Linked DNA regions of Coturnix japonica. The protein of the gene in region 2 interacts with the protein of the main gene of each other region in a pairwise test. Links are inferred from orthologs where the notes say so. Each region holds a gene or a part of one and is shown on either strand. Other genes may lie near its edges.

Region 1 (4,173 bases), on a different chromosome or scaffold from region 2:
ATTGATATTCTGATTATAGAAAATAGTTTTGGCTGCCTTTGGTTACTCAGGTAAGACTTCCCACAAGTAACATTTTAGTCTTCAGATTTTAACTGGATTATTTTTTAGAGGTAAAACACTAAATGTAAAGTTGTGTTTTCATTAGGGCTGGATAATCACAGCTTAGGAGTTGCTGTGAGGAGATTTAAAAAACAAACAAACAAACAAACAAAACAGTATATGTAGAAAAAATTGTCTTTCTTTTAATAGGATTTTGATTCCAGTGCTGTTTTGGCTAAAGTGTTTACTCCTTTTTGAAGATTCTCTTGGCTTCAACTCCTTCGTACACATAGGTCTGTTCAGAAATTAAGAAGAAAAATCAGTCATTGCTAACATATAAAATTTCGTTGCACAGGTGTTGTGATAAAGGTGGTTTAATTAATTGTGTCGAGTGGCCATTTGGGGCTTAAAAGCCCATGGAAGGGCTCTGAGGAAAGGAACAGAAGGAAAGCAAGCAACCTGTTGTCAGTAGGCCTAAATTCTCTATGGAAACATTTGAACTACCACTGGACAGTTCTTGGAGCTTTCAAATAAAAACACAAAACAAATAATAACACAAAACCAACAAAAAACCACTCCCAAAATGTTGAAATGCCATATTCCCAAGTGTCACCTTTGTGCCTGTGTTTATTAGAAATGTGAGAAAGAGTTGGCCCCTTGTGTTCTTATATCTCAGATCTCACACCTGTTCATGGGAGGGTTATTTATTTAAGAAGTTTGTGACCAGCTGGTCACAGAGCTATGGAAGGTTTCTCTTTTGTCTCTAGCTTCCTGCTGTGTCAGCTGCTGAGCACCTTATCCTTGGGAAAACTCCTGTACTTTGTCTTTAGAAGGCAAAAAAAAATGGGGCCTTCAGGGAGAATGTGTATAGTATGTATGTGGCTTCTACATACAGCTTGTATTCACAGACTTCACAATGTGTTGATAAGATACAGCTCACACAGGTAGGAAATCACACGTTGCCAGTTTTATGTTCCAAATTACAAAGTTCTAAATTTTAATACTTTTACTAGACTTGAGGATTTAATCTGAAGATAACTGGGGCTATTTGGTTTTGAGCAAAGTACACTGGACTTTCAAGGTATCTCTGAGAATGTTTTCAGTTCATTGTATTCTTAAATTGTGTATAAGCAACTGCTCAACTCACCTGTACAAGTTCACTGCCTACAATTTCTCTGTACGCTGTGAGTGCTTTTCCATTATCTTTTCTAGTAAACGTTCCTACGAGTTTATTTCCTTCCAGGTTCCAAGAACCCTGTGATGGGGAAAAAGAAACAACACAAATGTTTTGCAATAAATACGGCACTGATTTGATTTAAAGGCTGCAGGAGTGAGATTAAAACAGTGTAATAATGATTTTTAGGACTCAATTGGAAAGGCTGTAAAAAAAATGAAATATTAAAGAAGAAGTCAGCTTATTCAGTTGCTCTTTTGTCAGGCTCAGGTGATCCTTTTATCTGTTGATATGGTTAATTTCTTACAGATACCCGCACTACATTCTAGGTGGTGTACTTGACTATTATAAGAAGTAAAGTTTGCAATTGCCTGGATTTCAGCATATGGAAATTGCTGGATACTCTGTTTTTTGAGCACTGAATGGATCCCTGTGCTTCCTGTCACAATGCTGAACCATTAACATTTAGGGCTGATTTGTGACTTTATATATAAGGTGCGAGCATTCCTGAACTGCCTGACCTTAAAAGCCAAGTTTAAACTAGAACCTAGGAAAACAAGTCATTAATCCTGAAACTGTACTTTGTAAAGTTATTGCTATCCAATGAATACACATTGATATCAAAAGTCTCTTACTGAAAGTTCAGTCCCATCAGCCAGACTGTATTCAAAGCTGACTCCCAGAGTGAATTCAATGTCGATGGTACGGAAGTTGCTCGATTCCTTGACAAGAAATTTGTTTCCATCTTGCTGAATAGTGAGCTTCAGATTATCGTGGGCTCCTAACTTTCTTTTCATCATGTTAACACCTAAAAAAATTAATTAGCATCAATCAGAGAAAAATAAAATAGAACGTCATATTAGCATTTATATCATGACATTTTCTGTAGTTGAGGGAGCTCAGCCCAGGATTCTGACTCAGGGTCCTACTCTTCTCCACCTTTCACCAAGGCAGTGTTCAGCAGCATGTAATACAAACCAATATCCAACTAGGATGCTTATGTTTATATCCATATTACAGGCAGTTTGTGCAAGCTTAAAGTAAGCACTGGCATGTTAATATATCTCAAATCATGTGTGTTCTGCAAAACTGGAGACCAGCAATTTCCTTCTTGTGTAATTTTTCAAACAGTCTTATGAAAATATTATTCCTTACATATAATTCTATTTAAAGTTTACCATTCAAATTCTCTGAGCCTTTTCCACAAATGTAGATGTAGAGATTCTACTAAAGTACCTCTACTGGAGTTAGCTGAATGCATACGATTATCACAACGCAAATAAAATCAGAGTATTTTTCTACCTTGCATTCCCCTCTGTAGAGTCTTTTGAAAATAAATGCAGGGCAGTGTGCAAGGGCACAGCAGCAGACAACGAAAGACAGGTCAGCCAGATGGGAGTTCCTGAGCAGCTTAAGTTTGTATTCCACCATAGTGGTATCCTGCTTTTAAAAGGCATTCAAAAAGTAAGGCTTACCCATTGCTTCCATGAATTTTTCATAGTTTTCATTTTTCTCAATTTTCCAAGTTCCATTAAATGCCATCTTTCTGTCCGTAGGCAGACTTTTGGTAAGTAGCAGAGCTTTGCAAAGAGAATTTATGTACTGGCTTATCAGGAAAGCAATTTACATGATGATGTGGCTGGCTAAAGCTCAACCATGGCATTGATCTTGTCAAGGAGGGGGTCACTGTAGTTTAACTTTTTCACTGGTAAGCACACTGTTGAATCTCTCCCTCCCTTATTGCCTCAAATAATGATAGTATCTTTATTGCTCTTCTTTATAAACAGTCACTAACCCATTCATTGTGTTCATCTTATTTGAGTTGTAGTAAAAAACTGTCTATCTAGTGAAAGTAATAATTAGACTGGGAGAATGTATTGACATTTTCTTTGTTGCATAGGACTTTATGCTGGTGGGACAGTCTTTGTGCAACTGGAGAAAATGTATTTACCCAGCAAAACAAATACAAATCTCCATTCTAATTTGGGGAGAATCTATTTGACTCCATGTAATAAGCATGAGATGAATGATCCATTGAATGCCCACAGGTGGTTTCAAAAACTTGCTTCAGTTTCAGAAACAATTTGCTCCTTTCTAGTCTAGTGCTGAGCTATAATCTCTACTCATATCATCACTCTTTAATAGGTAGTTTAAATTCAGGGCACTTTCTGTGTATTCTCTATACTATAGCCTGTTCAGTGAATGCTCTGTTACTGTCCATTCCTACAGTAGTTGACGTGCCGCTAAGTGAATTTTATCCAACATGGTTGATTTCCGTAGATCCCAGGTTTTAAGTATTGAAGGATAGATAATGCAGAAAATGAGCGCACGCTGGCTTAGCTCTTTCTTCCCCATAAGATAGTGCTGTTTGAAACTGAGCAAGTTTTCTGGTACTAAATCTGTTTGTACCGAATTCAGGATTATAGTTAGCCTGTTCCTATGGATGGCACTAGATCTGCTGCCTCTTAGCTTCAAAACATAAATGTAAATCTGAATGCTGAAATGAATTTTGCTCATCACACAGTTAACAGGGTTGTGCTCTAACGAATTTTACTAGTGTGGTGTTATCATAATCTTCTTTTTCTTCCAGATCCGCAGCAAAATGTTTTACTGAAGTGTAACCATAAATTTAGAATTTTGCTAGTGATACCAAAATGATGTGGCTTTCCATTCCACACAGGTTCACTTTGAAATCAATGCTAATCTGGCTTACAGGATGCAGGGGGAAGTAACTCAATGGCTACTCCTCACCTTTAGGCTGTACAGAAGTTAAGGGAAGAGGAAAAGAAAACAACATAGATTATTGTTACAAACAAAGTTGAAGTAGTTGCACTCAAAATGGGCTGCTACTGACCATGCACCAGAGTTCATTTGTTTTCCAGACCTTTTGGTCTCCCAGAAGATTGAATGTGGTACAAACTGGTCTGTTTAGTTGCAAACACCTCCTGTTCTGCCTATAC
Region 2 (4,193 bases):
AAAGCAGATGTGATTCCAGGTCAAGATTGCAAGACAGCATGTAACATGGATGTTTTCTTCTTTATGCTCAGGGTAATTAATGCAAGCTAAGCAATATGTTAACCATTCCAGAAATCCACTGCCTGGGATACAACCTTTAAGCTGCTAGAGTTGGGAACTGATGATAACAGTTAATGGCAGCAATACATTAAAATTTAAATACCTTCCTATTTAGTAGTTATGGGAGCTGGAGATGTAAGAGCTTTATTACTAAATCTATTATGCTCCAGCACTGAGCGTTTTTCCTCGCCAATCCCTGCTATAAAAGTGTCTACTTAGAGCTAGAAGAGCCATAATCATAAGTAAAACTTTATTGCTTTCACCTGAAGTGTGAAAGGGACACTCACCACAAGGTTCAGGAGAATGAATTTTTCAGCCAGTTTCTGTATTTCCTTATGTTCAGCAAAGACCTTCTTGAGTGCTAGAATGAAAGCAATGAGCAATGATAATTAAAAAAGAAAGCATGTAATATTGCCCTAGAGAAGAAAATTTAAACAAATTGATATGTGAGAATATGAAGTTCACAGTTACAGCTAATAAAAATCGCTCTCTCCATTGCACTGATGGATGATTAACTCCGTTTTGTTCTGTGGTAAAGAGCGAGCGTGGTGGTACAAAGCGTGTCTCCTTTTCTTTTTCCCTTTTGTGCACAGAAGCCTCACCTTGGCTGTGTGGGCAGTCATCCAGGTGGTGGATAATCATCAGGGGCTTGTTGCTGGGGGAGAGGAAGGAGCCTGGTTAGCGGGGTGGTGTGCGGGGTGGCCGGTAGGGAGTGCTGCAGCGAGGGGTTGCCCTACCTGTTCTTTGAGCGGAATAGAGCTTCCTCGTACGTCTGAGTCCAGATGAGCTGGTCCCCCCAGCCTGCAGGGAAAGGAGAGGGTAGGAAAACGTCACATACATACAAGTGGGACCTGTGGTATCTATCTATCTATCTATATATATTTTTACCTCTGGAGAGTGTTTGAGGCAGTTTTGGTTTAGTCTCCTTCGTCTCCTTCTTGCCTATATCTTTTGCCAGAACACAGGAGATGGCCACGAGCAGCAGGAACACGGACACGTAGCTCTTCTCCATGGCTGCCCCTGGGATGAGGAAGAGAGCCTTCATTTCTCTGTCCCTCCCTGCTGCTGGTTCTGAGGTGCAGCCCGAGGCACCGCCGTGGTCAGGTATGCAGCTGGGTGAGTCAGCTGCCTGCTCCAGGTGGAGGCTTGGGGGAGTGTAAGGGAAGGGAGAGGTTTGCTAAGCTTTGCTTAGCTAAGGGTCATGAAGGATTTGGCTGCTTTCTGCTGTGTTGGTGCCACTGACCTGTGGTCTTATTAAGATGTGCACCTGTGTTAAGTTTCTCTTTGTTCCTTTTACATATATTGAGTTTGCTCAGTGAAACAACAGAGTTTTATCGATTTCAATAGTAATTCTAAGTCCTAATCAACTCCCATTTCTCTCTGGATCTCCCACTGATAAAGTAACTGGGCAGTTTAACAGCATGGGTGTTGACAAATTAACTTGTGTGGGCTCTTCATCTGTTTTGCAGCAAGAGCAACTCAAATGAGATGTAGAAGTCTAAGCTGGGTTTGACAGTAATGCATTACACAGACACAGCCGAAAGCTGCTATTGAAACTTTACATCCTGTCCTTTCTCATTAGCATCATCTAATCCTGAAAAGCAGTCGAATCTACAATAGAATGAGTGGGGAGCAGTGAGAACTAAAGTGCATTTTGCCATTATAAGCAGCACAAAGCAAACTGCTTGTCCTGCACCTGACTAAGGCATGGGGGTGGAGATGAGGCATGACTGATGGAAGCTGCTCAGCATTTCAGCTGTGATGCTTTGAAGGGGGAAAATCCTTTGCATGACCCTATATTTTTCTCATTAAGCTTATTCCTAAAACTGAAATAGCAGTATATTGAGTACGGTAGGAAGTCGTAAGGAATTCCAAAACCAATACAGAAAATTCAGAACATTCATGCAAAAAACATTTAAACAGACAGCTTTTAAAATACAATGAAAATGAGAAGTCTGAGGAAAAACAGAATCTTTTCTCTGGGTAAGAAGTGCAGGAGGAGGCATTAGCTGAATCTGCATCAGTGAAACAATGCTCTTAACTGCAAGGTGTCCAACAGACCTCTAAGCAACCACAGAGTAGATTTCAAGCGAATGAAATAGGATTTTGCAGGAGACTATCTGTCCCAGGAAAAGTCCCCTTGGAAAGGGAAAGAATTGAATAAGTTTACATTACATATCATGGATTTTCAAGGCTACCTTGTGTTGTTTTGGCTGTAGCTGTGTAGAGGAAGTAATGCTTACTGAAAAGAGGAAGAAAAAAAGAAAAGGTATTGGATGACCAGGAAGTCAAAGGTTTATAGGAATGCAAAGTTTACACTGTTACTGGTGCAGAAAGCCAAGACAGAAACACTAAACCTCCTCTTTGAAAACTTCCCCTTTGGAAGGCTGTGTGCACTTCTGCTTAGTTTTCTGCTCCATAAAGCCCCCCTTTTTTCCTACGCCTTCTAACTTGCAAAGACAACATATCTGTGTATCCTAATGGCTAGGAGCTGTGCTGTGCCCACACTGCTGCCTCTCCTTCCCATGGCTGTAGCCCCAATTAGCCCAGTGTTACGCAGGTAGTTCCGAAGAGTGAGCGCTGCCTTACCGTGTGTGCTCAGCCAGGTGCCTGCTGGGGTGCGAAGGTGTTCCTGGTCACAGTGAGAGCACCACGCTCCCTCCTGCCTATTTATGCACCTTTGCACTCCCCGTCTCCACCCATGAGCTTTGAATTTGAATACTATTTCCAAAGAGCTACACTTGCCAATCTTTCTCCTACCAAAGCGTGCAGGGTTAATTTTGTTATGAATTCATACCACACTTTCCTGCCCTGCATTGACTGTAAAGCTCAGAGATGTTTCTGGGGGCTTTTTAGAACATTTAGGAAAGTGATTTAAAAATGCTGGCAAAGATCCAAGTCCAGGTAAGCTTAAGTTGAGACTCCTGATTTGCCTGAGGAGTGATTTGTCTTTTTTTGATTGGCTGGAAAACGCACATGGGTCGGTCACCGTTCCTTTATTCCTCTGAAAAAGTGAAATTGGTGACTCAGAGCTCCAGATGTTAATTAGGTAATTAACTGTGTGCGTTATACGTGTATGTATACATGCACAAATAGCACCACACAAGAAAAGTTTAATGAAATGCTAGAGAATGGTTATAAAGCTCTCAGCAGGGAGGTGTTTTGTAGCTACAGGTGTAACAGGCACAGGTGTACAGGTCTAAGTGTGTTCATAAGCTGAGGCTTAAATAAGAGTTTAATTTAAATTCCGTGTTTAATTAGTTGTGTGGACACATACATCATGAAAACCATCCTTTTTGGGTTTCAGATACTTGTATAGTGAGGCAGAACTCTCCCACGCATCCATCTTAGTGCTGCAGGGCCTACTCAGCTCCTTCCTCAGTGTGATGAGAGGGTGTTTGGCACAACTGACTGAAACAAAAATGTGTTCCTCTAGGTGCAGGCCTCCTGTGTTCTAGTGTGATTGAAACTACAGGTTCATGGTGAGGGCTGAATGTGATGCATGGACTTACTATCTGAGATCTACACTGCTCTCTGATGGCAGTTCATGGCATGAATATACTTAAGAGAAAATAGTGCTTTGGATCACTTTTAAAAAATCTTTTGTAAAGGGTGATTGGGAATATGGGGTAAGAAGCATCTGTTTTTACTTTGGCATGTACAGCAGTACCATGCTTTGCTTATGTGCTTGGTGTATGGAAAGTGACCTCCCAGGGAGGTCAGTCACTGTAATGCCCATTTCTGTGTGGTTTATGTCATCTGCAGTCTCATCAAGGAGTAAAAAGTCAAAGATTGGGTACTCATGACTAAAATCTTGGTCTTAGACAAGTAGAACTTAGTGCACTCTTACTGACTGTCCTTTCAGTCTGCACCTGATACCACCTGGCAGTTTTAAGTCTCTAACAGAAGTTTTTGTTATTCTCTGGTTAAGTAAGCTAATGTGCAGGTAGGCTTCTATTCATGCACTTGGAGCGAAAATGAATGTTGTGTAAAACTGCATTCTCAAAACTGAACGCATATACGCACCTTGGCTCCAGCCTCCGGTGAATTTCTATTTATTTTGTACCTTTGCTTTCTTCTGTTTTCAGAAGATG

What was found. The genes of interacting proteins can lie anywhere in the genome.
Region 1: the proteins of AGR2 (region 2) and FABP2 interact in binary tests that used the Homo sapiens proteins (3 or more experiments, as listed by UniProt). The two-hybrid records come from large-scale screens. The link is inferred for Coturnix japonica from reciprocal best matches to the Homo sapiens genes AGR2 and FABP2.

Annotation. Positions count from the first base shown.
Region 1 is NC_029519.1:48,992,599-48,996,771, reverse strand, and holds the start of FABP2 (fatty acid-binding protein, intestinal), read right to left. Parts: upstream 2,801-4,173; 5' UTR 2,756-2,800; coding exon 2,689-2,755; intron 2,022-2,688; coding exon 1,849-2,021; intron 1,295-1,848; coding exon 1,187-1,294; intron 335-1,186; coding exon 284-334; 3' UTR 1-283. UniProt on the Homo sapiens protein: FABPs are thought to play a role in the intracellular transport of long-chain fatty acids and their acyl-CoA esters. FABP2 is probably involved in triglyceride-rich lipoprotein synthesis.
Region 2 is NC_029517.1:26,217,315-26,221,507, forward strand, and holds the start of AGR2 (anterior gradient protein 2 homolog), read right to left. Parts: upstream 2,801-4,193; 5' UTR 2,689-2,800; intron 1,120-2,688; 5' UTR 1,112-1,119; coding exon 988-1,111; intron 901-987; coding exon 837-900; intron 755-836; coding exon 702-754; intron 461-701; coding exon 387-460; intron 1-386. UniProt on the Homo sapiens protein: Required for MUC2 post-transcriptional synthesis and secretion. May play a role in the production of mucus by intestinal cells. Proto-oncogene that may play a role in cell migration, cell differentiation and cell growth. Promotes cell adhesion.